3 linked regions of the Zea mays genome follow. The protein of the gene in region 2 binds, or shares a complex with, the protein of the main gene of each other region. Links are inferred from orthologs where the notes say so. Each region holds a gene or a part of one and is shown on either strand. Other genes may lie near its edges.

Evidence for each region.
Region 1: the proteins of Thioredoxin-like protein CITRX, chloroplastic (region 2) and fructokinase-like 2, chloroplastic are in contact, whole or in part, in a cryo-EM structure (PDB 8XZV), measured with the Spinacia oleracea proteins. The link is inferred for Zea mays from reciprocal best matches to the Arabidopsis thaliana genes TRX z and FLN2. Residues at the interface, in XP_021862427.2 of Spinacia oleracea: Tyr73, Lys77, Ile83, Thr84, Val87, Arg88, Phe99, Tyr100, Thr102, Trp103, Gly105, Pro106, Ile108, Leu109, Gln112, Asp131, Asp133, Tyr136, Phe138, Ala139, Arg140, Asp141, Met142, Gln143, Val144, Arg145, Gly146, Leu147, Pro148, Tyr151; in XP_021858068.1 of Spinacia oleracea: Gln218, His219, Ala220, Phe221, Val222, Pro223, Ser224, Gly225, Arg226, Pro227, Ala228, Arg230, Leu231, Ile232, His234, Gln235, Ile236, His237, Leu240, Lys241, Ala243, Phe250, Ile251, Asp282, Tyr283, Thr286, Trp308, Ala310, Met311, Ser312.
Region 3: the proteins of Thioredoxin-like protein CITRX, chloroplastic (region 2) and Fructokinase-like 1, chloroplastic-like are in contact, whole or in part, in a cryo-EM structure (PDB 8XZV), measured with the Spinacia oleracea proteins. The link is inferred for Zea mays from reciprocal best matches to the Arabidopsis thaliana genes TRX z and FLN1. Residues at the interface, in XP_021862427.2 of Spinacia oleracea: Tyr73, Val75, Lys77, Ile83, Thr84, Val87, Arg88, Tyr100, Ala101, Thr102, Trp103, Cys104, Gly105, Pro106, Cys107, Ile108, Ala111, Gln112, Lys129, Asp131, Thr132, Asp133, Asp134, Tyr136, Phe138, Arg140, Asp141, Met142, Gln143, Val144; in XP_021865197.1 of Spinacia oleracea: Gln111, Lys112, Glu113, Phe114, Val115, Pro116, Ser117, Val118, Arg119, Val120, Ser121, His123, Gln124, Met125, Asp126, Pro127, Asp128, Ile129, Tyr130, Trp133, Met136, Gln137, Pro141, Phe143, Asp175, Phe176, Lys201, Ala203, Cys204, Ser205.

The regions. Positions count from the first base shown.
Region 1 is NC_050096.1:255,229,443-255,233,191, reverse strand, and holds the start of fructokinase-like 2, chloroplastic, read right to left. Parts: upstream 2,269-3,749; 5' UTR 1,949-2,268; coding exon 1,443-1,948; intron 1,212-1,442; coding exon 919-1,211; intron 788-918; coding exon 129-787; intron 1-128. UniProt on the Arabidopsis thaliana protein: Required for proper chloroplast development, most likely through regulating plastid-encoded polymerase (PEP) dependent chloroplast transcription.
Region 2 is NC_050096.1:224,701,554-224,705,302, forward strand, and holds Thioredoxin-like protein CITRX, chloroplastic, read left to right. Parts: upstream 1-1,565; 5' UTR 1,566-1,640; coding exon 1,641-1,895; intron 1,896-1,991; coding exon 1,992-2,114; intron 2,115-2,870; coding exon 2,871-2,951; intron 2,952-3,060; coding exon 3,061-3,177; 3' UTR 3,178-3,610; downstream 3,611-3,749. UniProt on the Arabidopsis thaliana protein: Thiol-disulfide oxidoreductase that plays a role in proper chloroplast development, most likely through regulating plastid-encoded polymerase (PEP) dependent chloroplast transcription.
Region 3 is NC_050098.1:184,110,290-184,114,038, forward strand, and holds the start of Fructokinase-like 1, chloroplastic-like, read right to left. Parts: upstream 2,166-3,749; 5' UTR 2,125-2,165; coding exon 1,252-2,124; intron 552-1,251; coding exon 1-551. UniProt on the Arabidopsis thaliana protein: Required for proper chloroplast development, most likely through regulating plastid-encoded polymerase (PEP) dependent chloroplast transcription.

The sequences.
Region 1 (3,749 bases), about 31 Mb from region 2:
GCTAAGTATTTTCAGGATCACATATCATTATTAATAAATAAATGTTGCACAGAGCATCTAAAACATAAAGTATTATACATAGGATATGATATCACAGGATTTAAATTTGATGATGGTTTGATATTTACCTCTTTTAGAACTGCCGGGTTGATATCAGACGGCAGGAAACAATCCTCAGCACAAGGTTTAACACAGTTTGTCTTCAGACTTCCTTCGGTTCTGACCTTCATCAAAGACACAGCAGTTGGTGCTGAAGGGTCCATATAAACTGCTCGAGTTTGAACTCCATTGATGTTTAAGTGATACAGCAAACTTTGACCGTAGTCATCATCACCTAATTTTCCCATGAATGCAACCCTTCCACCAATCGCTGCTAAAGCTAGAGCAACATTGGATGAAGACCCTCCTGGTGCCCTCACAAATTTGTCTGGAGACCAAAACATGTCCTTCATTCTATCATGAATCTCATGGTCTATCAACCTATTTGCTGGTCTTCCAGAAGGAATAAAGGAGTATTTGGCAGGTCCAAAGCAGCACACGAGCGGAATTAAATCGTCAACCTCTCCAATATCCTCATGTAGCACTGACGCTATTTTACTTTCCAGAACACTGGCAGAATTCTGTAGACGAGTCTGATCTTCTCTTTCATTATAGAGCATCAAATCTTTGCTCAGATGCTCTCCAGCATTATCAATAGGTTCCTCTACAGTCTTAACTTTTCTACGTCCCCTCTTCTTCGGTTCCTTGGCCTTATCCTTCTCCTCTTCTGAGCTTGCAGAAGTAGCAGCTGTAACAGAATAGACAGAACAGAGAAAAATTGTGACTTGCTAAGCTGTTCCCAGTCGAGAAAAATTATGAAAACCGCAGCATATAGAAACAGAAGTGCTGCAAAAATGCAACCAATATGTAGGTATTTACCTTTCTTGCGGCCTCTCCTCTTAACTTCCTTAGTCTCTTCAGCGGCCGTTTGTTCAGTGATGACTTCGATTTCTTCTCCTACATCTCTCGATGTTTCAACGGTGGCTTTCTTTCTTCCACGTCTTGGGGTTCTCTTCTTTTTTGTTGAGGTTTCACCGTCACTTTCATCGCTTAACCCATCCACGGCATCTTGTGAAGTCCTTGATGCAAAATTAGCACTGCGGTTAAGCAAACTCACTGTAGATTTAGCCATGTTCTTCCCCATATTGTTTGTCTTGTAATGTATTTGACCCCTGCGCACAACACAATCCAAATGACTTGACCAGACAATATCCAGGTCCATGAATCACAGGACAGAGCCGCATTTCTAGTCCCAGAATGAACAAAGACACAATTCTGGCTCCTAATCTCCTCTATCGCACCACAGACTGCAGCGACCATACGGGGGGAAACGGCATGTTTCACGCGGACTCGCATTGATAATTGGGATATACAGCAACGGATTCACTATGTTGAGAGATTACCTCAATCGATGAGAAGGGGGCTGGGAGCAAGTGAACTGAGGATGGAGAAGAAGATAAGCCATCAATGGAGGCAAGTAGCAAAAATCCCGGTAGCCCCTCCAATCACTGCTCAGCAACGAGGAACAGCAAAACCCCAGGGGACAAGGAGGGGAACGGAGATTTGGCCGGAGCAAATTACACTTTGGCCCATAGTTATGAGGATAAGGGGTAGAAACGTCATACCAGAAAAGGCGTATTCCATTAATTCGCTTTCTTATTCTGTTCGCGTAACCTGTTGTTTTCCTCCCCAGTCGGCGCATGGCGCAGCGCTCTCCTCTGTGCCTGCGCCGCCTCAAATCAAATGAAATCGGGCCTCCTCCGCACTTCCCCAGTCCAATTTTTTTCGCTCGGGAGGTACCGATCTCTTCTTCTTCCCCCGTATAATGGAATGGCATCGAGTTGTATCTTCTCACATCCATGCTGACATTTGTTGTAGAACCCTTGATTCCTATGCTGCTTGCCACCATTTTTCCCAACTAGTTTTAGCGGTTATTGTTGTCGTTGTTGTTTACCGAAAAGAATCCTGTCGTATTCTCGCCTCGAGGTCACAGTGGTTCCGCCATACTTGTCCGGCTCCGACTTTTCAATTTCCAGCACCGGCCACTGTTGCTCTGTTGGAATCCTATCTTCCCCCCTGCTCTTGGTCTCCTCATGTCTACTGCCACAGTGCTACAGATGTGGAAATGAAGCTACTCTACTTCAGATTTCCGTTTCAAAGGATTGTTTAGCTTCAAATGCTCATTCTGATATAAAACAGTTTGCTAATTTTCCTCTCATGTTGGCAGTACCGAGCTTGTTGGGTCCTTAACAAGGGCGGGCGTGCATTTCCCGAGGCACCATTCATCTGTGGAATCCTATGTCTTTGCAAGCTCCCAAGGGCAAGAGATTGTCGTTGCTTTAGGGAGCAACGTGGATGATACACAATCAGTACAGCACCTGATCAACCACTGTTCATATATTCTGTTGTAAGATGGACAACCAAGCTTGGACGACATGATTACGATTTATGCCAAACTGATGAAGATATAGTCCCAGACCAGTTGATCTGGATGTGATATTTTATGATAAGCATCAAACGAACGGAAATATGAGAGAGCATTTTTTTTTCTAGCTCCTTTTGATGGATCTTCTAGGATCTCTTGATCCTTGGATCAATGCAAAGTTGGCATTCTCTCAATATGCTGAAATGTGCACTTTAAACTGTGGAAGAACCTTCATGGAGAGCCTTTGTTTGATCATAAAAGAAGGCCTAATAATAGTGTTGCCTGTGGGTCATGGCCTCATAGACATAATCTGAAGCCAGATATCTTTAGTGACAGGTGGAAATTCTTGAGTGGATGCTGTTTTTCTGAGGTCAAATTGCTAACATCTGAACATGCAGATACAGTTGGCATTGGCACTCGATCCACGTGCCATTTTGCAACAAGGCTCTCAGAGGAGGAAGAGCTTCAAAGGTTGATTCCTGTGCTGGGTGCAGTCGTTAAAGATACTTGAGATAGAAAGAAGCTTATCCATGAATACAATTATATGCAGAAGTGCAGGTGAAACTGTAAATCGAGGAGCATATATAGTGAATGATGTATCTCGCAGGTGCCTTAACCTCTGTTTCTCACATTGTGTGTACATGGCAGGGGATCTATTCACATTGCATAGGCTACAATCTGGGTTTATATAGCCTCTGAGCAATACTCAAGTGTCTTACATGGAACTGGCAGAGAACTTTTTGAACAGAACAGTTGGAGATCTCTTCTATTAACAGAGAAGAATAAGAACCCAAAAAAAACTGTACAGGAAAAAAGGAATCAAGCAGAGCTAAACAAGAACATCACACTAAGCTTGAAGGGAAGATTTAACTCAATTTTATGGCTTAATGGAACTGGCAGAGATTCCTTCGTTGAGAATATTGTTGACCCTTCTAAATATTCTTAACAGAACCCTCAGCTTCTTTCTGGTGTGTCATCCATCAGAAGGGAGAATTGTCAAGGGAGCATTATTGCTTCACATGTACTAGTATGTTACTTGAACCATCCAGGAAAAAGGATTTCAAGGTGGGATGTGTGTGAGTGTGTCAATCCCACATGCAATGGTAGATTTGATGTTGATATACAAAGGTTTGTGATGCATTGTTGAAGCAAATAAAAGATGGGGATGTTTTTTTGAACCAAAGCCTTAAGCTTTTGCCCTTGTTTTTTTCTCTCTTTCAGAGACTTTTGCACTTGTCCATTAGTATGATATTGCTATTTCATTTTTCAAATAAACTATCTCTTG
Region 2 (3,749 bases):
CATCGGCATCCCGTAAAGGGGTTGTGACTGGTCGTGACAACCTATAGCCGATGTATTACGCGTGTTTCCCCCTAATTCTACCTCGTGTGATGGAAAATTTACAATGCTAGATTTGTCAAATGCACGCGCTAATCTCCTATAGTCGTTTTGCATACCGCCTATAATATTTTGCATTTGTTCACGCTGTTCATCTACATAATTCTTAAGAGATTGTAGTTCGTTTGTATTACTTACATTGGGGATATCTGGCGTGGGTCACAGTGAAGCCGGATCCGTCGCCCGATGTCGAACGACTTTGTTGTTCCTGTCCACTTTGAAGTTGGCCAAGAACCTTGCTTTTGCCTCCTGGATCATCTGCTCCTTATGCTCCTCGAACTGGAGCTGTTCGTCAGCCGGCAAGGTTTCCCAAGTCGGCTCTATGATGTTGCTTGGAGAGACTTCAGAACTATCCCTCGAACCGGCTATTGAGGGCCGATTTGATAGGTCTAAATATGTCTTCCCCAGCGGAGTCGCCAAAAAGTATGTTGACGCCTTTTTGGAGCGCCAAACACTTCAACAAGAACCGTGGCGGTGCCCTCTGCACAGGGGCGGACGGTCCGCGCGCAGGGGACGGACGGTCCGCGGCCTGGTGCGAGGCGCGGCGGTGCTCTCTGGTCAGGTGCGGACGGTCCGCGGCCTAGGGCTGGACGGTCTGCGACCTAGGGCCAGACGGTCTGCGACCTGGCGCAGGGGCTAGGGTCTCCTGCCTGACGGTCGGACGGTCCGCACCCTGGGGTCGGACGGTCCGCGCGTGCGCAGGGGCGGCGGAAGATCGCCGGCGGCGCCTGGATCTCGCTTCTGGGAGGGACCCCGTCGGGGAGAAGAGATCCTAGGAGTTGTCTAGGCTCGGGCCGGCCGACCTAGACTTCTCTAATCGACGTAGAGTCGAAGAGAGGCGAAGAATTTAGGGATCGAGAAGCTAAACTAGAACTACTTCTAATTGTACTAGAAATAAATGCGAATAGAAGTTGTATTGATTCGATTGATGATGATTAATCGGCCGTAATCCTCTGTTTTTATAGAGGAGGGGGCTGGACCCGTTACCAACAAAACTCCGAGCAAATCCCGCGATTTTCGCCAACAAACGCAGTGAAAAACTCGGAACCCTAATCTATTCTGCGCGTGCGCGGACCGTCCGGCCCACAGGCGCGGACCGTCCGGACCGCGGACCGTCCGGTCTCAGAGCCGGACTGTCCGCACCTCAATTTGGTGCCCAACAATATGATAATTTTGGTCACTTTTGTTATATAGAAAGTTTAAACTAAATACTTATTGCGCTGTTGTGGTGCTAGTTGGTTATATATTTATATTAAATTAGGTAAAACGGGCTATCTGAATCTGAACACAAAAAATTCGAATACTCGAAAATTTGAGTACCCAATATATAAAGTTTATGTTGAGATATCATTTCTAGATATTCGAAATTTAAAAAGCTCGAAAAGCTCGACCCAAATTTTGGGCTAAGGTGAATGCCCAGATCTACGGACTACCAAGATGTGGATACCCGTGTTAAAAAAGCGTGAACTGTACAGTACTATCATTTCCACGGAGCCTTCCGGATAGGATTTGTCTCCCCTCCACTGCGCCTCTCCGTTTCCGCCATGGCTCCGGCCGCCGCCTTCCTGTCGGCGTGCGCCGCTGGTTCCATTCCCCGTGCGCCCTTCCTGATCCCGAGGCCTCTTCTTCTCCCAATTCCGCTCTCCCCTGCGCGCTGGGACCGCTCCCGCAGCTGCAGCCTCTTTGGCGTAGGCGCCAACACTCGCCGCGCGCCAACCCTTCGACGGAACGCCTCCACGGAGACGGTGGTTCCCTACGTGCCGGGCTCTGGCAAGTACATAGCGCCGGACTACCTCGTGGTACGCAGCACGGTTCACTGGATCGCAAATCTTTCTGCTCCTCGGCAGTCGGTGAGTTCGAGTCTGAGCGGTGCTTTGCATTACTCGTGGTTGCAGAAGAAGGTGTCAGCCGAGGAGGTGCAGGAGCTGGTGAGGGGGCAGAGGAAGGTGCCGCTCATCGTTGACTTCTACGCGACCTGGTGCGGGCCCTGTGTTCAGATGGCGCAGGACATCGAGATGGTGAGCCACCCTCCCTGCCAGTTTTCCATCATTTGGTTTGCCTGTGTGACTTTTGATATCTTGGCCAACACAATGCCTGTCTGTGAAGTTGCAATCAATGGGAGTTATGGGACCAGTGGTATAAACGAGTTCTATGTGCCTCGTCAGTGACACCTTCAGCGGCAACCATGCTTTGAAATGGAAAGGAATGCAGTACACAGCTATGCTTTGCATAGGTTCTGCTGGATTAAGCAATATGTGAAGCTTCTGAGTATATTTAAATACTTTCATTGGGCGATTTAGTCTAGATTAATATCAGACTATATTATTTTAGAGGAATTTAGACAGCTTGGTAGCTGGTGTAGTCTGGTATAGGACAAGTTGACAAGGCCTACGAGAGGAATTTAGAATTTGGACAGTTTAGAATTTTCATGCGAAATGAAAAAAAAATATTTTCTGAAAATAATAAAAGACTTCCCCTAGCAAATATTAGTATCTTTAGCAATTAGTGATTCTTCTTTTGTTTCTTTTGAAAACAATGTGAAAAGATGACCAAGAAGAAAAAATCTTGTTGAAAACCACTTTTGGATTTCTAGCTTTTATTAAATCATAGTCAATCACTTGAGATTCTGTTTAACTATTGCCGGTATCTTGAATCTTGGAGCTGTTCGCACTTACGTGTGCTCCCTTTTTTCAGGACAAGAAGATTATCTAATTGCTCTTTCTATGTTGATACATCATGTAGTATCTCTAATAAGTCCTTTCAATGTATTGCAGCTTGCAGTTGAGTATGAGGACAATGCCCTGTTTGTGAAGGTGGACACAGATGATGAATATGAATTTGCAAAAGACATGCAGGTACAACCAAAATGGCACTCATTGAAGCGAACAATGTGTTGATTACATTCTTATTTAGGGTTCTTTTTTTTCCTTCAATTTTTGAAGTCACTAATGCTGAAGCTTTCAGGTAAGAGGGCTTCCGACCCTTTACTTCTTCAGTCCAGACCAAAACAAAGATGCCATACGCACCGAGGGGCTAATTCCTATGGATATGATCAGAAACATCATTGACAACGAGTTATGACAGCTGATAGATCACTGTATTAGGAACATAGGCAATGTTTTATCTTTGTAGCAGAAAATTTTTTGTCATGAGGCTAAGCATTACCGCTAGGTGCTAGTTTGTGTGCTTGATGTTTTCTTTTGCTCCAATGGTAGGTTTCATCTGTGCAAATCCATTCTGCTGTTTCTGTATCGTGTTGTTTATTCTCATCAAACTCTAGGTTGTGTCGTGCTGTTGTCGGTTAGGCCTGTGTGACCATTTTCATCCCTCGAATGATAAGATGGCTTTGGCTCAGATTGGTCCTCAAATTATGATAGAACCAATTTGGTCCTTGAGGTGGCATTCTGGGCTTAAATTTTGTCGAGAACATGGGATGACTTCTGCTTGCAAGGAATGGGAGCAGACAATTCGATTCTCGCATGGATGGTTTAAGGGAAGGTAATTAATGGTGCAATGGATATAAGAAACTAATAGGCTGTTTGGTTTGAGGAATGAGCTAGTCCATCATCTTCCCACTCCTCACTTTTTTGTTTCGTTTGTGGAATGAAATGAGTTGATCCATCATCACCTCGTTCCTTATAGTTAGTTGTGTT
Region 3 (3,749 bases), on a different chromosome or scaffold from region 2:
TGGTCTTCATACATTTCAGGACAAGTTGTCAGCTTCCTAATAGCAGCAGCCACAATAGCATCCCCTGAACCTGTTCGGTCAGTGGTGTATGGAGTTATGAGTGCATCCTCTGTCCCAACCACACAGCCATGAAACTTAGGTGTGTAATAGTGGATCCGAAGTGTCCCATACGTCACAAGCAAGATCTTTATACCGTCATGCCAAATAGGAGCGATCTCTTCAGGGCTGTAGTGGTAGTACTGTGGCCAGTTTCTTGTAAAATGAAATCCTTCAAGATAATACTGAGGAGGGGTGTTTCTCTTGTATTCATAGTACTCATGATCTAGGAGGAATTCCAGCTCATCCCTTGACACCTCTATGATTTCAGCCTCTTTCCACGCCCTGTTTATCACCTCCTTTGTTTTATCCTTGGAAGTCCACAATGGCAATGGCAAATTGAGATCGAAGAAAACTTTGCTTCCAAATTTCTTGGACAGCTCAATGGCTCTGAAGAGCGTGTCATGCATTGAGGGGTTTAGCAGGACTTCTGAATTGAAATGGAACATTCTAGCCTGTGTAATTGCCACAGATTAGATCTGAATAAAGAAAAAAATGTTTTGCAATGTAATAGCAATGACTACATCTAACTCATCAAAATGTCTCCTCTAAAAATCTTGTCGCCGGCATGTGAACCTGAACAGTGCAATTATGCTAAACATTTTATCTGCAAAGTTATTAATTCTGACGGCATCATTCACATGCTTACTTGAAACAGTTTGGAAGATGATATCATCGTGATCGTGAAAGCTATAGTGGTTTAAACATAATATTAAAGCTGTGGAGAAATAAACCTCAGAGACAAATTTATTATGAAGAAAGTTAGTTTCTTCAGAGCTGGAAACTTTAGATAATGCAGTATAACCTCTGATTTTCATGGACTGCTATAACAATTTTATCTATTTTCTAAATACAAATACTGATAATTTTTACAGTCCATAATCCGCTGCTATCTTAGATTCCAGAAGACTGATTCAGATGTCAACTCATCTCTTAAACTGCACTATGAGATCAAGTGCCATAGCTATGCTGGTGCTGCTAGATCAAACCAATTTTATATTTCAGCAAGGAATTCATTTGATGCAATTGTTCTGCAAAAGTGCACCGTGTTGTTATGCACATAAAGACATAGCTTGCCGTGAAATGACTACTCGAGCATAAATCTTGAACCGGAAATTCGGAATCCAACGTTTACCCAAGGAATTGCCAACTCACCTCTTTCAACACGTCTACATTGATCTCAGTCCTGCGGAGGGAGTCCTCGGCGGCACTCTTCACCGTCTCGGCTACAAGTTTCGTCCCGCCCTTGCCGTCCTCCCGGTCCCGGAAGCTCACCTTCATGCGCGCCGTGGCGGTGACCGCTTTGTCGTCGAACTTTATGGCACGTGTCTGCACCCGCTCGCAGTTCATGCGGTACACAAGCTCGCGGCCGAAGTCGTCGTCGCCGACCTTGCCCAGCACTGCGGCGCGCCCGCCGAGCCGGGTGAGCGCAATCGCCACGTTGCTCGCCGCGCTCCCCGGCGCGCGCGCGAACTCGGGCGGTTCCCATTGCAGGTGCCTCCACGTGGAGTACATGTCGGGATGCATCTGGCGGTCCGACACCCGCACCGTGGGTACGAACTCCCACCGCGGCGCGCCGAAGCAGCACACCAGCGGCGGCCACTCGTTCGCGAAATCGTCGTCGTCGCTACCCACTTCCACCGCATCCTCCTCTTCGTTGGCCTTTTGAATCGTATCCCCCGTCCCGTGATTCGCCGCCTGGGCCACCTCCTCCTGTTTAGCCTCTCCCTTGGACTTCCTCGTCCGGCGGTTGGTCCGCTTCACCGGCTCCTCCTCGCCCTCCGAGTCGGGATCCCGGTCCGCCTTCTTGGTTCTCCTCCTCGTAGCCCTCGGCTTCGGCGCCGACGGGGACGGTGACTTTTTGCGGCCGCGGCGCGAGGCAGGTTCAGGGAATTCCGGCACGGCGGCGCCGTTGGGCGAGCAGCGGAGGGAGAGGCCGCGTGGGAAGCTGGAGTGGAGGGACGCGGCGAGGAGAGTGGGCTTGGGGAACAGTGATGGCAGGAGGAAAGCGGGGGCGGCCATGGCCATTGTCGCTCCTCTTTGCTCGAGGTGAGGGGCGCGGCGACGAGCGCAGCGAGCGCTGGACTCGACTCTATCCACTATCCAGGAGAGTGTCAATGTGATCCGATAAGGGTTTTAGCAACCGTTAAGGATGTCGGGTTTGCGCCCGCAAAAGGAAAATTGTCCAAATGGAACATCCCGGATCCCGATCTACAACATGCAAGTATGTATTGTATCGACGACCCTAAAACATCCTTAAAAACATCCGTAACTATAAACAGGTGCTCATACACACGAACATGAATCACGATCTCAAAGGAGGTCTATCCCTAACCGACGGCGTGAATAAGACATGTTAGATAAGATGTCAGATATATTTCGGACTATCGATTTATTGTATACACGTGTTACAGTCACACATCATGAAATGTATAGCAATCGAACAAGTGATATACATATAGTCATGTAATCTATAACAAAAAGTTTAAATAAAATAGCATATTGTTATATTGGTACTACACATGATAACTAACAAATTTTGTCAACAACAACGATTAGTACAAGATGTACCAAAACAAGACGGGGCAATGTACAATACGATCTATTAGAGATCATATCAGGGCAGTATTACTTTGGAAAAATACTCTAAAAACGGGTGGCGACGCACCAAGGATGAGGAACACATGTTGTTTAGAACGTATGTCTTTCTTACATTTTATAGTCCAACGGTAGGCACTCTAACTACTCTATTTAATTGATACTAATATACAAATTCAGGACCTATTAGGTCATTTGGACACCCCGGAACAATCGGCTTCTAGATAATCTGAGGAGTCCATTAGCCATTTTTCCTGTTGCACCAATTCGAAGTAGGATTTGGTGGCCAGGAGTGAAACGAGTAAGAAGTGCAATATAAAGTGGAGTGGTAAGAGCAATTTGGAGAGTGAGAGATGTGAATGCAATTAACACTTTGTCTCTATTCGTCTGTTTCCATTTTTTATTTTCTAAATTCAAAATAACACAAACCAATCAGAAACTGCCATATAGCAACAGGTGGCCAGTACCAGTCAGTCAAGATCGGCAACGTCCATGTCTCAAACGCACGGATCTATATTAACTGACGGTCAATCTGGTTCTAACGCGGTCGATACTGATTGAATTGGCCGGTTTGTAGCCCCACCGAATGATCGACTGATTCAATTATGGGGTGTTTGGTTTGAGAAATGAGCTAGTCCATCATCTTCTAACTCCTCACTATTTTTGTTTGGTTTGTGGAATAGAATGCGTTGATCCATCAACATCTCATTTCTTATAGTTAGTTAGTTAGTACTAATATGAGTAATAGAGTCATCCCACCAACTCTGAGGAATGAACCCATGATGCACCACTTTAATTTGGATAGAGTGATTCCTCAAACCAAACACTCTATTAGTATTGGAGCTCGCTGGTCGATACCAACCACCCATCCATCGTGTAGGTGCATCGTACCGTGGGGAAGGAGAAGACGTTGGTACTGACTGTGACTCGGACGACATCATCGGTGCGCTTCGCTCAGCTCTGGGCATGCTTCACTGTCGCACTGTGCATTGGTCAATCGGAGTCGCCGCCGACATCGAGGGGGGTGCAAATCGAGTGACGTCTACCAGACTCCG